Rhinolophus ferrumequinum: one gene and its partner. The protein of the gene in region 2 purifies or fractionates together with the protein of the main gene of each other region. This does not show direct contact. Links are inferred from orthologs where the notes say so. Each region holds a gene or a part of one and is shown on either strand. Other genes may lie near its edges. The genes, in order: GRK2 and PTCH1.

What was found.
Region 1: the proteins of PTCH1 (region 2) and GRK2 purify together in Homo sapiens (affinity purification with western blotting; 3 studies listed by BioGRID and IntAct, with this or other methods). This does not show direct contact. The link is inferred for Rhinolophus ferrumequinum from reciprocal best matches to the Homo sapiens genes PTCH1 and GRK2.

Annotation. Positions count from the first base shown.
Region 1 is NC_046294.1:4,932,956-4,943,621, forward strand, and holds the start of GRK2 (beta-adrenergic receptor kinase 1), read right to left. Parts: upstream 4,536-10,666; 5' UTR 4,297-4,535; coding exon 4,184-4,296; intron 1-4,183. UniProt on the Homo sapiens protein: Specifically phosphorylates the agonist-occupied form of the beta-adrenergic and closely related receptors, probably inducing a desensitization of them. Key regulator of LPAR1 signaling.
Region 2 is NC_046295.1:7,892,447-7,901,961, forward strand, and holds the start of PTCH1 (protein patched homolog 1), read right to left. Parts: upstream 3,987-9,515; coding exon 3,789-3,986; intron 3,038-3,788; exon of another isoform or gene 2,831-3,037; intron 2,152-2,830; coding exon 1,959-2,151; intron 1,337-1,958; exon of another isoform or gene 1,316-1,336; intron 1-1,315.

The DNA of each region.
Region 1 (10,666 bases), on a different chromosome or scaffold from region 2:
GGCCCCTTGGGACCACAGGAAGACAGGGCAGGTGTGATGGAGGCTGTGCATTCCCCAAAGACTCTCACGCTCATGGCTTCTGTTTGTCCCCAGGCAGGAGCATCGTATCCCGGAAGCCCCAGCCATATACACGCAGCCTGAACTCCCTGGGCCCCAAGAGCTCAGCACCTCTGCAAAGCTGACCTGGGCGCCTGCCCGGGGTGGGGGAGGAAACGCAGGCTGCAGGAGTGCGCCTACAGCTGACATCACAGGGATTTACTACTAGGAATTGATCGTCCATTAATAGGACACATTATTCCTGGATTTGGGTTGACAGAGCCCAGATTCCCCTGCTCATGCTTGTCCGCTCAAACCCCACAGTAAACAGGCAGGTGAGCAACTTTCATGACAAAAACATGAAACCTAGTGCTCAGGAAAAGAGAACAGATGGGAAAAGGTGTCCCAGAGACCCATTCCTGGGGAATGCAGGGGCTTCAAAGGCCCAGAGGGAAGGACTGCTGGCAGGGTCATCTTGTCTTCAGGGGCAGGAGTGGGGAGGACGATGATACTGGAGTGGAAAGTTCTGGCGAAGGGATAAAGGCTAGTGATGAAGAAGTGGAGGGAGGAGGAAGGGACGAAGTGTTCCCCTGCACCCCTTCCCCCCACAAATAAGGGCAGGAAGTTCTGGAGGCAAAGAGTTAACAGGAACGAAGCAGCAGCAGAGGAAGAGTGGCCGGTCTGGGAGACTGGGAAGCCAGCAGAGGGCAGGAAGAAGGAAATCCATGGTGGGGGAGGGACCAGGAAAGAACCGAGAAAATGGGAGGCTGCAAGAGGCACCCGGCTCCAACAATCTGCTGCTGGGGCTGCCACTGTCACCGGGGACAGCAGGGGCACCTCCTGGGACCGCCCAAGCCGGCTCCTCAGCCAGGAGCCCAGAGATTAATTACACGAGGCCTCCATGGTCATATTAAGCAAATGGCGATGGTTACAGGGCTGCTGCTGCTGCTGGAAAGGGAAACAGTGGCTCCTTTGGGGAGAGGCTCAGACCACAGACCCTGAGAGGTCACTGGTGAAGCGGCAGCCCTCGGTTTACCGATGTGAACACTGAGGCCGTCTCAGCCAGGATAAGGGACGTGCCTGGGTCCCATGGGAGCTGGTATCGGGGCAGGATTAGAAGCCGAGTCTCCTGTCTTTCAGCTACACAGCTCTGCTTCCTTCCATGAGAAGGTGGAGAAATGGGTCTGTTTCCTCAGATTCTATAGGGTGACAGAAGGGGAGGCCCCTGTGCCAACTCAACATGGCCCTGTGCCCAACAGCTCCCTACCCCAACCCTGAGGAGTCAGAGCTGTGAAGCCAGCCCCAGGACTCGGCCAAGCCACAACCCGGGCACCAGCCGAAGGGAGGCTGCCAAGATGGACCACCCCAAGGTGGAAGCAACTCCAAATGGCACCTTGTCATGGACAAACCAAAGCCTTTCTCCTTGACCCTGACCTTATGGGTGAGGGGATGACGTGACCCCCAGGTGTGGAGCTGCCTCCTCTAGGCACCAGCGTTGCCGGGGCAGCCCAGTTCTGTCCCAGCCAACGAGGAGGGGGCTGGGCCTTATGAACTAGGACAGCTGACGGTGCTGGGGGCTGCCCTGCTGCCAGGCTACCTCCCCAGATCCATGGCTCCCCGGACAAGGGGTGCCAGCTGGTACATTCCACAAAACATGGACAGATGAGAGCAGAGGTGTGGAGGGATGTGCAGAGGATATGAAGCCTGGCAGGGAGTCCAGGGACCCGGGTTAAGATTCCAGTTCCCCCCGTGACCAAGTCTCCCTCTCTGAGCCTCAGTTACTCGAACTATTAAATGGGAGAATACCACCGGCTGTGCCAGCGCTGTGAAAAGGATAAATGGAGTAAAAACACTTTGCAAACTGGGGAGTGCCTCCCAGGGTAGGAGGCATCTGACCCTGGCTGTGTGAAGCATAAAGCAAAGGCTAGCATGTCCTCTGATGCAAGAGGCCTGGACTCCTAGGGGCAGCCCTGGCCCTTCCCCGGCCTTAGCTCACCAACATCGATCACTGCTTAGAGGCTCCAGTCCATCTCACAGATGTGAGTCATTGCCAGATGGTGACCCTACACGAGAACCTGTAACACCTGGCTCTCAGCCCAGGTGTTCCCCTAAACTAACAGCCTACCTGGTTTCAGACATCACACAGTGCTGACAGGGCTTGAGCAACTCTACACGCAAGGCATGGCCTTGTTGGTTTTTGGATCAACTGAGATGACAGGTGTCAAAATAGATAATAAATTATCACAATTTCCACCATCATTCCCATCATCACCATCATTACCACAGATAGTAAAGGGGACAGGAAAAGAGGAACAGCTCGTTTCTCGGGGTGCTAACACCTGCAGAGCCGGCCCAAGGCGGGGCCCCATCAGGAGCAATGCATTCTGGGGAGAGATTACCCAAATGCAGAGAGTTCCAGAAAAGGCCCCACCTCACCCTTTTGCAGAACTCCAACCTACAGGAGAGTCTCAAGGGTTTGGCCACCAAGGAAAGCCGTTACCAGCCCCAGAGGCTGACTCCCCCGTTTCCTCCCTCGTGGCTTTGTCATTTCTGAACTCGTTTTTGTTCTAACTGTCACTGCTCCCTGGACAGCCCCCAGCCGAGAGTCAGTCTGGTTCCTGTTTTGAGAAATCTGATTGCAAATGTCTTAGAAAAAAAGGGGCCCTAACGGCCTTTTCAAAATGCAGACCAATTTTCCTCTCCAAGGCCTAGTGTTCAGTCAATCCGAAACCCAGTGAACAGGCCCCGAGGAGGGCACCGGAGACAACGGCATGGCACCCCTCGCAGCTTTGGGACTCGCTTCAAAGACTCAGGACACCACATAGTCACGACCTCATTTCATACCTTCCACATTTCACAGATGAGAATACCGAGGCCCAGAAATGGGAAGGGACTTGCCCAAAGTCACATGATAAGACCATAACAGCTAGGACAGGCCCAGCCTCCAGGGCTGGCCGGGAACCAGGATGCCAACTCTCAGGCAGGTATGGAAGAGTTGCTGGGACAGGCCTCACCATGTGACCCAAAGAATTGTAGTGGGCACACGGCTCTTATAGATACGGAACGGCCAGGCCCCGGCTCAGGCCAGAGTGGTGGACGCGATGTGGACCTAGAAGCCGGAAGCCCTGATCTGGTGGCTGGGCACCACCCTGGATTACCTGTGACACTGGGCAGGCCACTCACCTCTGGGACTTCAGCTTCCCACCTGTTCCCTAGGGACAAAACCACACCTGTCCTATCTGCCCATGGGTGGCCTCGAGGCTCAAACGATGGGAAAATACTCTAGAAACCATAAAATGCTGGACAAGCCTCAGTTCTCATCTGTACCTGTATACTTCTGCACTTACATCCTGCACTGTTTAAACTTTGACACCAGGTGCAATGACATCAGTTGTCTCACAGAGAGGTGGCAGCCGTGGTCCAGCTGCTGCAGTGGTGCTAGGCTGTCCCCCAGCAAACAGCACCCATAGGGCACCATACCTGGGCCGGCCAGAGGAGGAATACAAGGGGAGAGGGACAGTGGGTGTCTCCCCCACTGGGAGGGGCACACACCACACCCTGTGTGATCCCAGGTGATCCCGACCACCAAAGCACTCTCAAACGCCACCCCAAGCCAGTGACCCACCAGAGCGTAGGGAAGACTTATTGTCTCCCCCAAACCTCACACAGTGCTGACCAGAAGACCCGGGGGGCGGGGGTGGGGGGGGGGTGGGCTGGGAGTAAGGGCAGCAAAAGGATGAGCGATATAGTCAGGCCAGGTAGATGCTAGGAGGCAGAGGAGGGGACCCCATGGGGAGGGTGGAGGAGACCAAGGGTAGCCGGACGAAGGGGAGTGGGGCCCCTGTGGGAAAAGGCAGAGATGAGGGCCCCGCAGAGTGCACGAAGGGAAAGGGAGGCCGAGTGGGGCAGGGGGCAGAGTCGGGTGGGGAGCCAGTGGGGCTGGAAAGCCTTGGCGCCGGGACACTCCGGGTTCAGGAGCACAGGGCCTGGCGAGCAGGGATCGGGTCAGCGCCGCTGGACCTGGAGCGGTGGCTGGGGCAGAAGGGGTCACGGGGCAGTGCCCCGGCGGTCTGCGGCTGCGGGGTCGGGGCTGGGCGCTCGCCACACCCGACAGGGAGCGGGGCCAAGGGGCCGGCGGCCGCCTCACCTGGGCTCGGGCAGCAGGATCTTCTTGCTGGCGCGCGCGGCCGGCGTGGCCTTGCTCTTCTCCATGGCCATCAGGTAGCTCACGTCGGCCAGCACCGCCTCCAGGTCCGCCATCTTGGCGGCGGCGGCGGCCTCTCCCGCCGCTCAGCTCGGCTCCGCTCCGCTCCGCTCCGCTCGACTGGCGCGCTTGGCCCGGCCCGGCCGCTCCGTCGGCCTCGGGCGCCGCCGCCCGCCGGCCCCGCTCGGCGCCCGCGGCTCCGCTCGCCGCGGCTCACAGGCGGCGCCGCCCCATGGCGCCGGCTCGGGCCCGGCCGCGGCTCGCTCCGCTCCCGCCGGGACTGCAGTCGGGCCGCCGCCGCCCGCGCCCCGGAGCCGCCGCCGCCTCCGGCCCCGCCTGCCGCGCACAGCGCCAGCGAGCCCGCGAGGGGCCGGGCGGGCGGGCGGCGGCGCCCCCTGGAGGCCGCGCGGGCTGGACTTGGCCTGACCCCAGAGGCCACCCAGACCCCATCTCAGACCCATCCCGGACCCCGACCCCGGGCCGGGGTCACCACCTTGACCCTAACCCGGATCACAACTCGGATGCCAGACTCCGCCATAGACCACGTCCTGACCCCTGGCTGGCACTTCAGCGCACGATCCCAGGGACTTGGGTCTCAGGCCCTGACTACAACCCCTGACTCCCTGATCTTGGACGCAGTCGAGGACCTGACACCACACCTGAATACCATTCATGACCCCATACTCCAAACAGGACCCCAGCCCAAACCTTGGACACCTCTTATCTGACCATGACCTTGGATCACAACCAAGAGTCCCCGACTCCACCCAGACCTTGAACCTGACCCCAGACCCCCAACAGGACCCCCACATCCAGACTTTGGACTATGACCTCAAACACTGATCATAACGTCAATCCCATCCTGGTTACTGATCCCAGACCTTGATTCTAACCCCAAACCCAGACCACTATCATGACCCTGAACCCTGAACATGGGGGCAGGGCCCAGATCTGGTCTTGGACTGTCAACGCTAGACCAGGGTCCTAGACCCAACACCAGGAAGTGTGGAAATAGGCCCAGAAACAGGATATCCAATTATGACCCAGACTGGACCTAGAACCCTTAACAGGTTGCCATAAACCTGGGACCCGACAACTGTAGTTAGACTCCAGGCTTACCCCACCCCCAATCCTGCTCAAGACCCAGTCCTGGCCCCAGGACTCCCACTCAGGACCAAGGACCCTGTACCAACAACCCCTGCCCTACCTAGACCAGCTGTAGTCCCAGGCCCCTGGCTTGCATCCCAACAACCCAACTATAGAATCATGATGGAATCATCATAATTCCACAACGTGAGATCCAATCGCTCTCATCCTGGTAGGGCACAGGGGTCTGTCGCAGTGCTGCCTAGCAAGGGAAAATCACTCTGGTGAGAGCCCATGGGGGTGTATAGGGGAAATCCATGTGTTTCAAAGCAGTACCCCCTATCTCAACATGCCCTTCTCTAGAGCTTCTGCTTTCCAAGGTGACAAAGTTCCCTTTCAATCTTGGGCAAAAGGAGGGCAAGCCTCTTGCCAATTTGTGAGTCAGGAACGAGGACCCTTTTACAAAGCAGGAAGCCCTTCCCTGTGCACTTCTCAGGCTACCTTCTGAGAACAGCCTCTGCAGAGCTTGAAACCAGAGCACATCAGAGCTGGCAAGGTCCCTTCTCAGTGGGCTGAGATTCTAGGGCTCCAGGCATCAGACTTGACTCCTCCCTGTTCCCCTGCCCTAATCTACTGGCGCCACACCCTTCTGTCTGGGAATCTTCTTGAACCCGGCTGCTTCTCAGGATCCCTATGGCTGCTGCCGATGTGGCCCCTGACTAGAGATGCCTCTCTCAAATTAAGATCTGATGGAGTTACCACCTGCTTAGCAGGGACAAGCAGAGCTCCAGGCCAGAGGGAGCTCCAGGCCGCACCTACTCTGCCCAAAACAGATCAAGTGAACAAGTTCCTTAACCTGTAAGTCAAGGTCTTGGATGACTGTGCCCGCCTTCTCTCCCCAGCTTGTGTTGCCACCACCCTCTGCACCTGGGGTCCCTCTGCCAGGCCACCCATCCATTCTCACCTCTGTGACTTTGCTCTTCCCTGTGCCTGGAAGCCCTTTGTGTGTCCTCATCCCTGGTGAGATCCTGCTCATCCCTTAAGACCCACTTCCTGCCGGTAACCTTCCCCAACCCCCCTCCCACTGTGTACATCTGTGATTCTGCACTTACCACCTAGCTCCTTGATTTTGAACATCATCAATTGTAAGATGCATCATGTCATGTTTTTGACAGTGGGATGGGGTGAAGCTTTATTCAACGTTTGCATCAATTGGAAAATGCCTCCTGATGTTGGAAGTGCTAATTATGGAGAGAAAAAAAAGGTACATACCATCTCCACCTGTAACTGACGCTCCAGTTTATCCCTTGCCCCCAGAGCCCACCACAGGACCAGACGCAGAACGGCCTAGTCAATGTTTGATGAGTGAATGAGCTCCTCAGCCGAAGGTGGCACATGGAGTTTGGGGAAGAATAGGGTCAGAGGCACACAGGATGCCACAGCAGAAGGACTAACCTCCTCTCTTCCCACCCCTCCCCAGCTCTTTGGGACTCTGACTACAGCCACACGCTGGCCTGGGTTGTCTGGAGCAGCCTTGATTTAAAAAATTCTTCCTGATGAACTTGTCAGACCAGAGTCCCTGGTGGTTCTCAAATGCCAGCCATCCTGCTTCAGGAAATGGTCCTCCCCTCCCCCCACCACCTGAAAACCCAGACTGCCCCTCCCACCCACAGCCCAATCTGAAGCCCCAGAAGGCCTGAAGCTAGGGTCCTTCGAGAGAGCCAGTCTCCAGGCTGCCCTTCGTTGATTCTTGGGCAGTGGAAAGCGGCTCCTAGAAGCCCTGACTGGGAAGAGGGTGGTGTTGGGTCCCTGGTCTGGGCGAGTTTCTGGTCCGGGGAAGGCTATTTTTTGGGGTGGTGCTGCCCTCTGGTGGTTGAGGGAAGGTGGATGGTAAACTTTCTTCAGTCATTCTCTCAACAAACTTTTGTCTCCTGCCCAGACTGTGCCAACCTCTGGATGGGATGCTGGCAGTAAAAGAGGAGGGGAACCCCATCTCTGCCCAGCTGGCAGATCTGCAGACACACCATTACCTGGCATCTCCCCTGGATGACTAATAGGTGTGGCAAACTTAAAACATCCCACACTGAGCTCTTGCTTCCACACGCAGCCCCGGTGCAGCCTGCTCCTCTGAAGCCTCCCCATCTCAGTCATGGCTACTCCATCTTCCAGAAATCTAGGAGTCATCCTTGATTCCTCTCTTCCCTCGCCTGGCCCCTGCCACCATGTACACGCACACTGTCATCCAGCCTGTCCCTGAAGAATACCCCGGCTTCTTCCAGTCCTTCCACTGTGCCCTGCTGAACCCGATCTTGTCCCATCACCTCCCACCTGGTGCTGCCGTCCACACCAGGCTCCTCACGGAACATCCTGCCTCTCATCTAGCCAGAGTTTTTACAGGCCTAAATCAAAGCTCACCTCCAATGACTGTCCCTGCACTAAGGATAAAACCCACCCCTTTCCCAGGGCCTATAAGATCTGCACCGTCTGGCCGCCTGCCCATCTCTCTCATTCAGTTCTATCCCCTTCCCCTTGCCCCTTAGTCTCGTCTCTCTGGTCTTCCTTTTGTCACTATAACAAGCCACAGTCACTTCTACCTCAGGGGTCTTTATAATTTCCCTTGCCTGGAATACCCTTCCCTGCCTTCCTGGCAACGCCAGGCTCCTGTTCACCCTGCATCTCCTGGGCTGAAAGCTTCCTGCTCAGAGTACTCTCCCTTAGCGCCCCTGTTGGTCGTGGTCACTGCTGCCTTCCTTACGCACCCCTCATGGCTCCCAGCACAAAGTTAGGGCCGCACAAAGAAACAGGATTCAGTGGTGGCCTGGTCCAGTGGGGAAGAAAACCCCTAAATGCATACCTCCAATTAACCTGGCAAGAACTATAATGCAAGGAGGTGGGGTGTCCAGGAGGGTCAGTGGAAAAGTTGGGGAGGGCAGGGGAGAGATAAGGAAGGTCTTGAACTTGACGTGTGTGCACATGAATGTGAATGAGGTTGGGGGTGAGGACTGGCACATTCAAGTTTCGTCCTGCCGGGGCCTCCCCTCTTCATCTCCATCCTGTGCTTTGAAGATTCAGGAGGATGAGTTTGGCTGCTTCCCTGACCTCACCAGGGATGTATGGATGCTGGGATTTCACTTCATTCACTCACTCACTCATCTGACACTGTTTGTTGAGCTTCTACTACATGCCAGGTTCCGGTGCTTGGCCTTGAGGATCCAACATAGGGAGACACAGTGAACTTATGGGCAAACTGCACACCGTAACAACCACTGACATTTATTGGGTTCTCACTGTGGGCAGATGTCACGCAGGGCGGCCTGCAGGATCTCAGCTCCCACTCCCCACATAAGAATGCAGGACATGGTGAGGCCAAAAAGGAACACCCACGGAGCCATAGGTAGGAGAGTCATACCACTATACTCTCACTGGTGGCTGGGTTGGAGACACAGGAACCAGGAACAACACAATTCTCAACCTTCACTGTGCCGCTTGCAGACTCAGCCACCATCTTCTTGCTAGCTCCCCCCTTTTTTTGCTAGCCTAGCCACGGCAGTTATATTATTGCCCAATGGCTCACTGGTTACAGCTGACGGCCAACTAGCCACAGCTGATGGCCATTTGATCACAGTCGATGGCCATTTACTACCTGAGCCAGCACCTTTCTATGTGAGGCCGAGAACCTGGAAACTGCTTTTTGGGGCTCTGTCCCCACAGCAGAGCACTGTTTCTAGAGCCCAGACTGATCACATTTAATGCTCAAAGCATCCTTATGGGGCAGGTGACAAGGTACTATAAAAGCTAAGGAGCCCCCTCGTGTGAAGCCCTTTGAGGAAGGGCTTTTTTGCTGGAGCCAGAAGGATGGGAGGAAGCAGCTTTGTTAGGGGCAGGAAGAGCTTTCCAGGCATGTGGCACAGCAAGTGCGGAGGCCCTGGTTATCCAGGAGGCTTCCTCAGCTCCAGGACTCCCTCCCTCACAGTCCAAGAACCTTCAGGGGCCCCTCGACAAGCAGACATGAGCTGCACGCAACTCTGGCCGGGACTTCCAGACCTCTGGCTCCGCCCAACTCGCTTCCCGGGAGCGGCGCCTCTTCCTGGAACCCTTCAGAAGGTCACACAGTCTCCGCACTGCCCCGGGCCCCAGTATCCTTTTCCTCTTCGGAGCCTTAGTCCGGACGTGGCACCAGCCTGTGGCCCGCCCCTCCCGGTCTACGGCCAGGTCCCCAACCCTGCCCCGCCCCGCTCCGCCCCGCCCCTGGCTCCGGCCCCGCCCCTTGCCCCCGGCCCCGCCCCGCCTCTGGCTCCGGCCTCAGGCCCCGCCCCTCTCGGCCTCAGCCGATCTCGGCCTCTGCAACGCGTTACCCTCGGGAGCCGTCCCCAGCGCGCATGGCACCCTCGTCTTAGCCTGGAGCCGGAACGTTCTGTGTTCACGCGGCTCGCGTTTGTGTCTTGACACTCCCAGCCGCCTGTGAGTGTCCGAGGCATGGTCTCGTAGCCCCCACCGGCCCCATACAGTGGCCACTGGTACTTGCTGTGTCTGGGGACTGGAGGACGTGTGTGGCCAAGACTGGGGTCAAATGCTAGTGCCACCTCGTATTGCCCTAGCTGGGTGTCCTAGGCAAGTTACTTATCTGAGCTTTGCCCTTTTCATCTGTGCACGGGGAGTCGCCAGCCTGGCCTCACTGGATTGTTTTGAGGGCTAACGGAGATATGTGCACTGTTAGGCTTTCTGAGTGGCCACTGTCACACGTGGAGTATCTTCGGTCTCACTTGTGTCTCCCTCTAGGAGTCCTCCATGGTCCTTTTCTCTCATTTCATTTCTCTTCTCCCCTCCTCCTTTCTCTACTTCTGTTTCTCTTTCCTTTTCTGGGTTTTTCAGGATGTTTTCTCTCCATGTGTCTGTGTCTGCTTCTGTCTCTCTGTCTTGCCTCTCTAGCACTCTCATGGCACATTCTGGGGGCTAGCAGCTGGACCTTCCCGCCGATTGTAGCTCTCCCGAATGTGTTGGGTGGCAGAGGCAGAAGCTGGGTGACAGTGCCAGGCCAAGAACAAAACCAGGTGCTCCTGGACCTCAGGTGTCTGCTCTTACTGTTTCCTGCCCACATATGGGTGTCCAGCGTTGAAGTTCCCTTCTGGGCATGGGCACCCGGAAAAGTGGCGGCTGGACAGGTCTTCCCAGCCAGGAAGTGCCTGGCCTGCTTGGCTCCTGCTGACCACTCAAATGGCACTAAGCACATTGCTGGCATGGAAGGGCAGGAGAGAGCTGGGATTGTCCCTCCCCCGCAGGATTGGCTACATCATTTGCTGGACCCACCACAAAAGAAATGCTGCCCCTTGTTCAAAAATT
Region 2 (9,515 bases):
CCATCTGTCTGCTCAGCTTGGGCCTTCAGCTTGGACCTTTGCCTGACCTCCTTTTTTGAGCTTCTTCCTAGAACTTCCACTCCCTCCTCTCTCCCTCTCCCTCTCCCTCTCCCTCTCCCTCTCCCTCCTCTCCCTCCTCTCCCTCCTCTCCCTCTCCCTCTCCCTCTCCCTCTCCCTCTCTCTCCAGGTCACCCTAGTTTGCCTTACCACCTCCAAGGAAGCTTTTCTTTTTTCACAGTTTTCCATTTAACTTTCTCAGCCCACTTTCTGTGAGCTCAAATTTAGTGCAAGTCCATCTAACTCGAGTAGTTTTAAGTCCATGAATTTGTGCTCAGGGAATGCCTCCCACGCTCTGGGGTCCCTTACAGTGCCTGGCACATTGCTAGGGATGGTACAGGTGCCCAGTAAATTTCCTGCTAAGACACCATAGATGGTGACTAAAACCCTTCTTTTATCTACCAACAACATTGAAGTGCTGAATTGAGGTAAATTAACCTCCATGGATTCTATCCAAATAACACTTTTGTATTAATTACCAAGCTACTTAAGGCAAGAATGTTTTCTGGTTTTAATTATTTGCACTATTATTTTAATTGTCATTTCTCAACTAAAGACTCTACCATATGCTTGCAAAACACTGAAAGCTGAATCTTCACAAAGCAAAATCAACAAAAAATATTCTCCAAGGTCAGTTCTCCAACAGCATTCTGAAAGGAATCAATTATGCATGTAACTTAGGCTTCCACATTTTGTCTTAGGTAGCTTTCATTAGGAATACTCCACATTTCTGGTTTGAAATATCTGCATAATTACCTCAAGTCCCTTCCTCCCATCCCATTTTAAGAGAGACCCAAGGCAGTGTTTAGAGGTTAAAATGCTTCCAAATCGCAAGACTGTCACTTTCCCAAAAGAATTAAAAGACAACCAACAGAAAACAAAACCCAAACAAAAACAAACAAAAAACCCGTATCACCAAAAGAATGTAAAATGTTTGTGGGGGGAGGGGATCTACTTTAAATTTACAACTGCTTAAAAAAAAAAAACTTCAAGAACCCCCCCCAAACTGAGGAATGCAGATAAAAGACTGACAGAACCCCTTGGAGAGCTCCTGTGGCCCCTCTCTCCAAACCCGTGTTCTTAAAACACATTTCTTCATTCAGCCTGCAAAACGCAGCCTTTCCCCAGAATAATTCCATTTATAAAGCCCCCACCCGCGAGGAAACATTAATCTACTTTGCAAACATGCGTTCCAGTCAGTGCTTTACTGTTTTTTTTTTTAACTCCTTCCCCCATCCCCCCACCCTTTTTTTTGTACCTTGAGACAAATGTTTTTTTCCCGCGAGTTGAAAGCTGTCCAAAACCAGGACCACACACGCCGCCGCCTCCGCAGGCCCGCGCTGCTCCCTCCCCCCGCCCTCCCCAGCGCGGCGGCCGCGGCCGCCGGGGGCGCGCACACTCCCTCCAGCCGGAGGGGTGGCCTTTCCCTGCCTTCCCCCTTCTTTCTCTTTGGACGCGGTGGGTGGGGGTGGGGGGACGGAAGCCGAGGACCAGAGCCAGGAGCCGAGTGGCCTGCCTGTGGCCGCGTCTCTGGGCGCGGCGGAGGCGGGCGGCGACGGCGGCGGCGGCGGCTGCAGGCCCCGAGGCCCCCGGCCATGCAGTGGTCCATTCCGCGGAGGGGCCCCGCGCCCCCGCCGGCCCGCCCCCGCCGCTCTCTCCCACAACACCTAGCACAGCGCAGCGCCCCGAGTAGATTACAGCGCGGCCTTTGTCGGACGGGCCTGGCTCCGGTCCAGGCGCCCAAACAATAAACAATTCCCCCTGGTGCAGGCAGGGGTTTTCGCTCGCACCGAAAGGCTCTAGGTGTACGCTGGCAAATATCTTTATCAATTGGAAGAAAGGGTACTAGAAGCCCGGGGTGGGGGACGGGAGAGCGCCGCACCGGGCGCTGGGTCTCTTACCTTCCACCCACAGTTCCTCCACGTTGGTCTCCAGATTAGCTGCCTTTAATCCCACAGCGAAGGCCCCAAATATGAGGAGGCCTACAACCAAGAATTTGCCGCAGTTTTTTTGAATGTAACAACCCAGTTTAAATAAGAGTCTCTGAAACTTCGCTCTCAGCCACAGCGGCGCTTTCCGGCCAGTAGCTTTCCCCTGAGGATGAAGCAGAAAGGAGTGGTAAGCGTCGGGGAGTCACAGCCCGCGCGCCCACGCTCGCTTGCGCGCACCCGCCCGCGGATCCTGCGACAGCTGTGGATAGTGCCCAGGAGGTTGGAACCCTGGCCGGCACGAGAGAACGCGAGCGGCTTGGGGGAGGGGGGGCTGCTTAAATAAAAAACGGGCTGCAGCGTGGGAGTTGCACCTTGGCGACAGCAGGGGCGCCCCCACGCGTGGCCTGCGCAGCATCCCTGAATGCAACTTGGGGAGCTGGGGGGAGGGGCTGCAAGAACACGTGAAGGGTAAGATGAGGCACAGAACACAGAAATCATTCAACACAGGCAATAGCCACGCGGGACTTGATAGGGGAGGGGCTGCGTAGTCCTGTGATGGAGCACAACTTCTCTGAACCAGCAAAGCTCCGCTCCCTTCCCTGCAAATCCTGCCCCACCCTTCACCCCTCTCCGGGTACCCTGGCGGGGACGCGGGCTGAGGGGCGAGCGCGCTTTGGGAACAATGTAGTGCAGGATCTCCCATCCTGATCCCTCCCGGCGTGGAAGTAAGGGGATCCACGTGGTGAGCGCGGCCACCGGAGCTAACTCGGGATCCATTTCCATAGCGTTGGGAGACGCTGTGTGAGCTGAATTAGGAAGTGGGGCAGCCATCTGCAACTTACGACAATATTTGTGATCGGAAGAGGGCAGCCACATGGATCTTTCCCTCCTCTCCCTTCCCTTCGGTTTAAATGTAAAAAGCAGCGGAGTGCACAGGGGAAGGGCCCAGGCCGGCGCAGGCGGGGGTCCTGGCTGGGCGCTGGCTGCTCCCGGCGGCGGCGTTTCCCCGGCGCTGGCCGCGGCCCCGGCGGGCCCCCGTCTGGGTGCTCGCCTTCTCCGGATTCCACACATTTCAGCGAGCCTCGTAAACACAATGAACCCGGCCGCTCCGCAGACCCGGACCAAGGATTTAAGGTGGCAATTTGTTTACAACTTTCCCTTTACCCCTAGGCTCTGAAAAGAACTGGCTCAAAAACTGGAAAAGAAGAGGGGAGATGCCCTCTTCCGAGGATAGTTTTTAAGGGAGCAGAGATTTCATGCTCAACAAAAGCAAAACCGGCTGCCAAAAAAGGAAACCACCTTTATTTCGGCTCCCTCCCCCCTTCTTCTCTCCGCCTCTCAGTACTCCGCCTCCCCCTCCAAGATGTTAAGAAATGTGGCAGCATTACAGGGGTTTGGGCTGCAAATAGGGGCAGGGGCCGGGGAGGAGGGGGCACCGAGGCAGGGGGCGCCGGGCAGTGCCGCGCTGCGGCCGCCCTCGAGGTGGTCCACTGTGGACCGCTTTCCAGTGCTCCGGAAAAGGCACGCTGGGGAGGGCGCGCGCGCGCGCGCGCACACGCACACACACACACACACACACACACACACACACCCCTCCACCCCCTGCGGACCTCAGACAGCCCTTTCCTTCCAGGACCTGAGGGTGGGTTTGAATTTTTCAATCCCCGCTTGTCTGCTGCTTTTCCTGAAGAGGTGTGTGAGTGTGTGTGTGTGTGTGTGTGTGTGTGTGTGGCGGGGCTACCCCAAAGAGGAAGAGGAGGGAGGAGAGAGTGGGAGGAGAGGAGAGAGTCTGAAATGCACCTTGGAAATCTGCTCCAGAGCGAAGGCGGCGTCGCAGTAGCTGGGCCGGTGCAGATAGTCCCGGTCCGGCGCGGCGTGGCGGCGCAGTCCCCCGGTCCGTCTGCGCCTCCCGCCGCCGGCCAGCCGGCCCGGGGCCCCGCTGCAGCTGCCGCCGCCGCCGCCGTCCTGGGGTTCCGCGGCGTTACCAGCCGAGGCCATGTTGCCGCCGCCGCCGCCGCGGGAACCGAGGTTTCCCGGGCGGCCCGGCGCGCTGTTGCCGCCGCTGCGGGCTCCCTGCGCGCCCCGGCGCTGGGCTCGCGAGGACGCTGCTGGCCGCCGGCAGTTCGGGCTGGGGCTCCGGTTGACAGACCTGCTGCTGCTGCTGCCGCTGCTGCTGCTGCTCACACGGCGGGCGCTGCTGCCGCTGCGGCCGCGGCCGCTGCCGGGGAGTCAGACCCTGCGCCTTCCATTGCCACATTGCGCGGGGGTCCCGAGGTCTCTGCGGCCGCCGCTGCCCACATCCAGTTCTCGGGAGCGCGAGAACCGGCGCGCAGAGCCAGCCTGTCCTTCGGGCGCTTGCTCGGCGCTCCTCGAGGTCCCCGACTCCCCCTACCCGCCCCCCGCCCCGCTCCGCGACCCCTTCACTGCAGAAAACGCCAGCAAATCCCCGCCGCTCCCGCCGGCCTCGCTGGCTCTCTCGGCGCCTCCCGGGTCGCCCGAGCAGTCGCGGAGGACAAGCGCAGAGCCGCTGCCGCAGGGTCCGTGGGTGCCCGGTGGGTCTCAGCGCTGCCGGGCCGGGGCAGCCGCCGCTGCTCCCGCGGCGGCTGCTGCTGGCGGTGGCGGCTCCTGAAGTTGCTGCTTGGGCTGCTCGGGCTCTGGCTGCTGGGCTCGCGGTGGCTGCTCGATCCCGGACTCTGCTTTCTTGTGCTCCTCGCCAACCCGCTGGACCATTCTGCCCCCGTGCAGCGCGCCTCTCTCGCTCCCGGGACCTGGGGACTCCGCTCTGTGTGTGTGCAGCGGGCAGCGGCCGCAGCAGCTCCTTGATTCAATAGATGAGATGGAAGAAGAAAAAAAAGAACTCTCTCCATTTGGAGAAAGAGGAGGAGGAGGAGGGGAGGGGGTGGAGGGGGAGAGAGCGAGCGAAAGAGAAAAAGGCTGGAGCTCCCGCCCCTGGGGCTGTCAGATGGCTTGGGTTTCTGCGACGCGATTGGCTCACGGAGGGCAGAAATTACTCAGCAAACATGACTATTATTAGCTGCTTAGCAACAGCTCACCAAAGTAGAGAGACCACCCAGGTAGGCAACCCCAGTGAGTGCATCCCCGGCTTCGGGGGGAGCCTCCGAGAGCGCCAACCTTCTCGCATGCAATACTTCCATTAAGGAATGCTCTCTCCCTCCCTTTCTTTTTTATTCCTTTTCTTTTCATCAGTGTCTTCTTTTTGTAGACGCTTTTTGAGCGCGCACACACACTCACACACACATAAACACCCACGAGCATTTGCCTCGCGATAGGCACGGGGGAAAATGTAATATTTTTTTAAGCGCTTAAACAATTTCTGAAATTCCTCAAAGAAAACCCTTTCAGAGGCACCTTGGCCTCAAGCTGCAGCAAATACTGGGAGGTCCGGCTTGAATTCCCAGGCCTGCACCAATAATGACAGGGTGGTGGATAGTGCGCCAGTATGTGCCAGATTTTTTTTTCCCTCCTCTTTTATAACTAAAGAGAAGACTTAGGCTCTCGCAGGGAACAACGCCCAGCATTAAGATAAACAAAATGGAAAGTTAAAGAGGAAAGTAAGGACGTTGAGAAAAGCAACCCTCTCTTAAAATCCATCTCCCCCCCCCGTCCCGCTCCCCCACAAACCCCACGGCAGCACAGTCCTGGTTTGAAGGAGGCAGTGTTTTATAAACGTGGAATCCAGACACCGAAGCATTCTCATGGAGGCAGAGGCGTTTTTATTTGAATCTTTAATGTGACATATGTAAAAGAGAAAATGCAGAATCCTTTTAACAACCCGGAGAACCGAAATTGTTTCCTTGAGAAAGAGACGTTTTCTTGACTATTGGATTTATTTGGATTTAGACCCCCCCTTTTTTTAATTAACCACGTCCTTATTTAAAAACAAAACGTCTTTTAGACTTCTTCAAAAACTGGTACGCATCCTGTTATATTTAATAATAGCATGACGTAGGGGAGAATAAAGGCTTTGATGTTGGATTCATCGAAACAAATTGTGCGCTGATTGCGAGGACTTGTCTGGACACTGTGGCCAGTGTCACCGAGACATCCCGGGGCTTCACTTCCCGTAGGGGAAGAAAACACGCGACTCTTTGAGGTGGGTCCTAAGGCCATAGTCAAATTAAACTGTCTACATAGCTTCACTTTTTATTTAAAAATAATTTTTTGGACCGTGGAATTTGTTTTTCTTACGTTTGCAAGTTAAGTTCTTCCTTGAGATAGGATCCAGACCCACAAACCCTCGATTCTGCATTATTTTAGTATTTGTTTTTTACTTCTTTTTTTAAAAACGGCGTTGAACTGCAGAGGGACCCACGGCAGCAAGAAGCCGACTGAAGCCGTGAAATGGGGCCGTGTGGCTTTAAGATGCACACGGTGTGTGTTCATTGAAAAAAAAAAGAAGAAAGGAGAGGAAAGAAAGAAACCCAGATGGAAAGGGGGAGGAGCGGGTTAGAGGGTGGAGCCCACGCGGCCACGTGACCCAGGGCCGGGCCGGCGCGCGCTCGTTGGTCCGGAGGCCTATTACGCGCGCGCCCGAGTTCCGGGACTCCCCGCGTCCGCGCGGCCCCGGTCAAGGAGGTAGGGAAGTCGGTGCGCTCTGCTCGTGCCCGGCGGTCTCCACATCTCCAGCGCTGCCTCCCAGGAGCCCAGGGGAGGCGCGCGCCCCGCCGGCGCGGACGGACGTGCCGGACGCGCCGTAGTACATTCCTGAAGGCGGTCCGGCCCCCTTACGTTGGCCAATGCCCGCGCGGCCTCCCCCTGGCTGACCAATGGGTGAGCGCACGGATCCCTTTCCATTCAGCGGCCCCGCGGCCGCGGCCCGGGCAGGAGAGAGACTGCAGCGCCGCCCGCCCGCCACCCGGTCGGCCCACGCGGCTCCCGTGGGGGGTCTGTCGGCCAGCCCGCCCTCTTCCTTCCTCTTCGGTTCCCCCTCCCTCTTTCTTTCCCTCTCCCTTTCACCCCTTTCTTCTCCTCCCGGATCTCTCTCCTCCCTACCCAGCCTCGCCACCTTCCCTCTATGGCTTTTCCTCCTTCCTGGTCTCACTGGGAGACCCTACCCCCTGAATCCCTAACCCGCAAAACATTGTGCAGTACCCCGCGGCGGGGTAGGGTGTCCCATAGAACAGAGACAGAGAATAAGTGTCTAAGGGTGTACAGGAGATCAGGACCGGAGTACCCAGCCAGCGCGGAAATTCAAAACTCCGAAGGAGCACGTGATTTTGTGCGCGGCTCTGGGAAAGACTGCTAAAATCGAGAAGGGAAGACGAGCACCGTCCAATGAAAATGGTACTACGTACATTGATAAATAATATTGCAGGAAAATTGGGCTCGACACATAGCAAGTTTAATCTTTGAGCAAAATTCTGATCTTTATTGTTTGATAAATAGCAGAAATCAGGAAGGTGATTTAATGTTCTATCTGTTTTTGTTTGTTTTGTTTTACTGAATAGTTCTACAGACGTTTCAAGTCAAACCATTTAGTGATTGCCGCTGGAAATTACTTTTTAAAGACTTGAGGGTGGTACTCCTAGTTTTCCATGTCAGTCTTTTTATATTTGATGTATGCTTTATGGCAAGGGAACCATGTAGCCATAGACAGGTTGCTATGTTTGTCTTTTCAAATTTCTTTACAACGTTTTAGGTCAAAATATAAGTTCTTCCTCCCAATCTTTTATTTATAGCAATTTCAGTATAACTACTTGGATTATGGAATTCTAAAATGAAATTATAGGCTATGTACACACATCTTGGTTCCCCATTACTCTCGGCACGCAGCTACATATCCTCTCGTTCTGGCTGCTGCCACATGTGCACCATTTCAATGGTAAAGCCTATTCCACTCGGGCTCGTTTCCCTCGGTTTGACTTAATTCGTAAACGTTTTGAACATTGATCTCCGGGGTTTTCAGCGCCCTGAGCCCCCTCACCCGCTGTTTGATAGGTTAACTTTTCAGCATCTCAGACAATGGTCCCGGTCTGAAAATTCTACCAATCAGTTCCAGGACGCGGTCCCCAACCTGGGCTCTAACAAGCGCTATCTTAATCTCCCCACCCCCACCCGCCGCTTTCCCTGTGGTCTGCTTTTTTCATACACAGAGATGAATTACTTTGAGGATCTAATTGGCCTAGTTTCTGTAACGTTTTAAGAAAGGGAAGAGGCAGTGTAGAAGCCTGCTCGACTTGGGTGGTCAGGGCTGAGGCTGCCCCCAATTTGCCTCATTGCTGATGCATGCGAGTGCGACATTCCCAGCGATAATGTTGTTTCTAACCAATCTGCCCTTATTTACATTTGTAAGCATTGTCGCCTTTAATATGCATGCCCAGTGGAGGGGACCGCTGAGCCACACCGGGTTTGTTAACTTCAACTAACCACAAGGATTCCCCAGACCTGAGATGAGGCTAAGTGGAGGAGCCAGGCCCGCAAAGGAAGACAGACGGTCCATTTAATGGCCTTTCTGCAGCATGGTTCCCCTCCGGAGAGTAACCAAGTAAGTGAGAGCTTGTGGCCCTTTTAACCAGCTGGAGCTGCTGGCCCTCTTTGGCGCAACAGTTGAGTGTTCCATTTCCCCTTTCCAAGTAAAGTTCATCTCAGTGCATCAAATGTCATTTTGATCTCCCAATCATGATCTAAGACTTTATTGGAGTCTGTCGTTTAAAAAACAGATTCCTTAAACTCTTAAAATATGATTCACTCATATCTTCTCCATTCTCTGCTCCAATACTTAAAATATTCATGGCCATGACACACACATCTCAAAAATGACATCCGATTATTCAAATGATGACACTGAAATAAAACATCTGCCCTTCATGTTTGGACATTCCAACGATAAGCAATTGTGGGAGCTGGACTTGGTGGAGTAATGAGAAACCACAGTGAGATTTAACTTTTCACTAGTTTCTCAAATCCAAACAAATGGGTCTTTTTAAAATCTAATGTAATTTAGCTCATTTTTGCAGAGTATAAATGAATAAAGGGGTAAATGTATTCTAGTAATTTGACTCTTGGACCATGTTATGATTTTGTCTACCTACTTTAATACTTGTTCCACAAATGCAAAGAATTGCAAACATTACATTAAGTTCCATAGTATTCCTGTTGAGAAGGTGGGGTAGGGAGAGGAATTGGGGATTTGATGTACATTCTATTTGTGGCTAGAGACCCCAGGGTACAGGATGGGCCAGAGCCTGAGCAGTTCAAAGCAGGTACCTTGGATAAGAGTTGAGTCTTGACTCAATTCAAGCCAGTATGCCATCATCCACATTTTTTTGGCTCTCTAAGAATGCCTTATTATTTCTCATTGGCAGCTTTTGTATTTACTTAAAAGGTGATGGTAGAAAATGAGTCTAAAAGGAAAATGAGTCTAAAAGTTTTGGGGGGGAGGGATGGAAATGGAGATTCAGCAGCCACAGAATGTAAAATCTCTAAGCATGATTCCCCTCCCCTTCTCCCTTCCACCTTCTGTTTCCTTCCCTATTCCCCCTCCCCAGGACGGGAGGAAAGGGAATC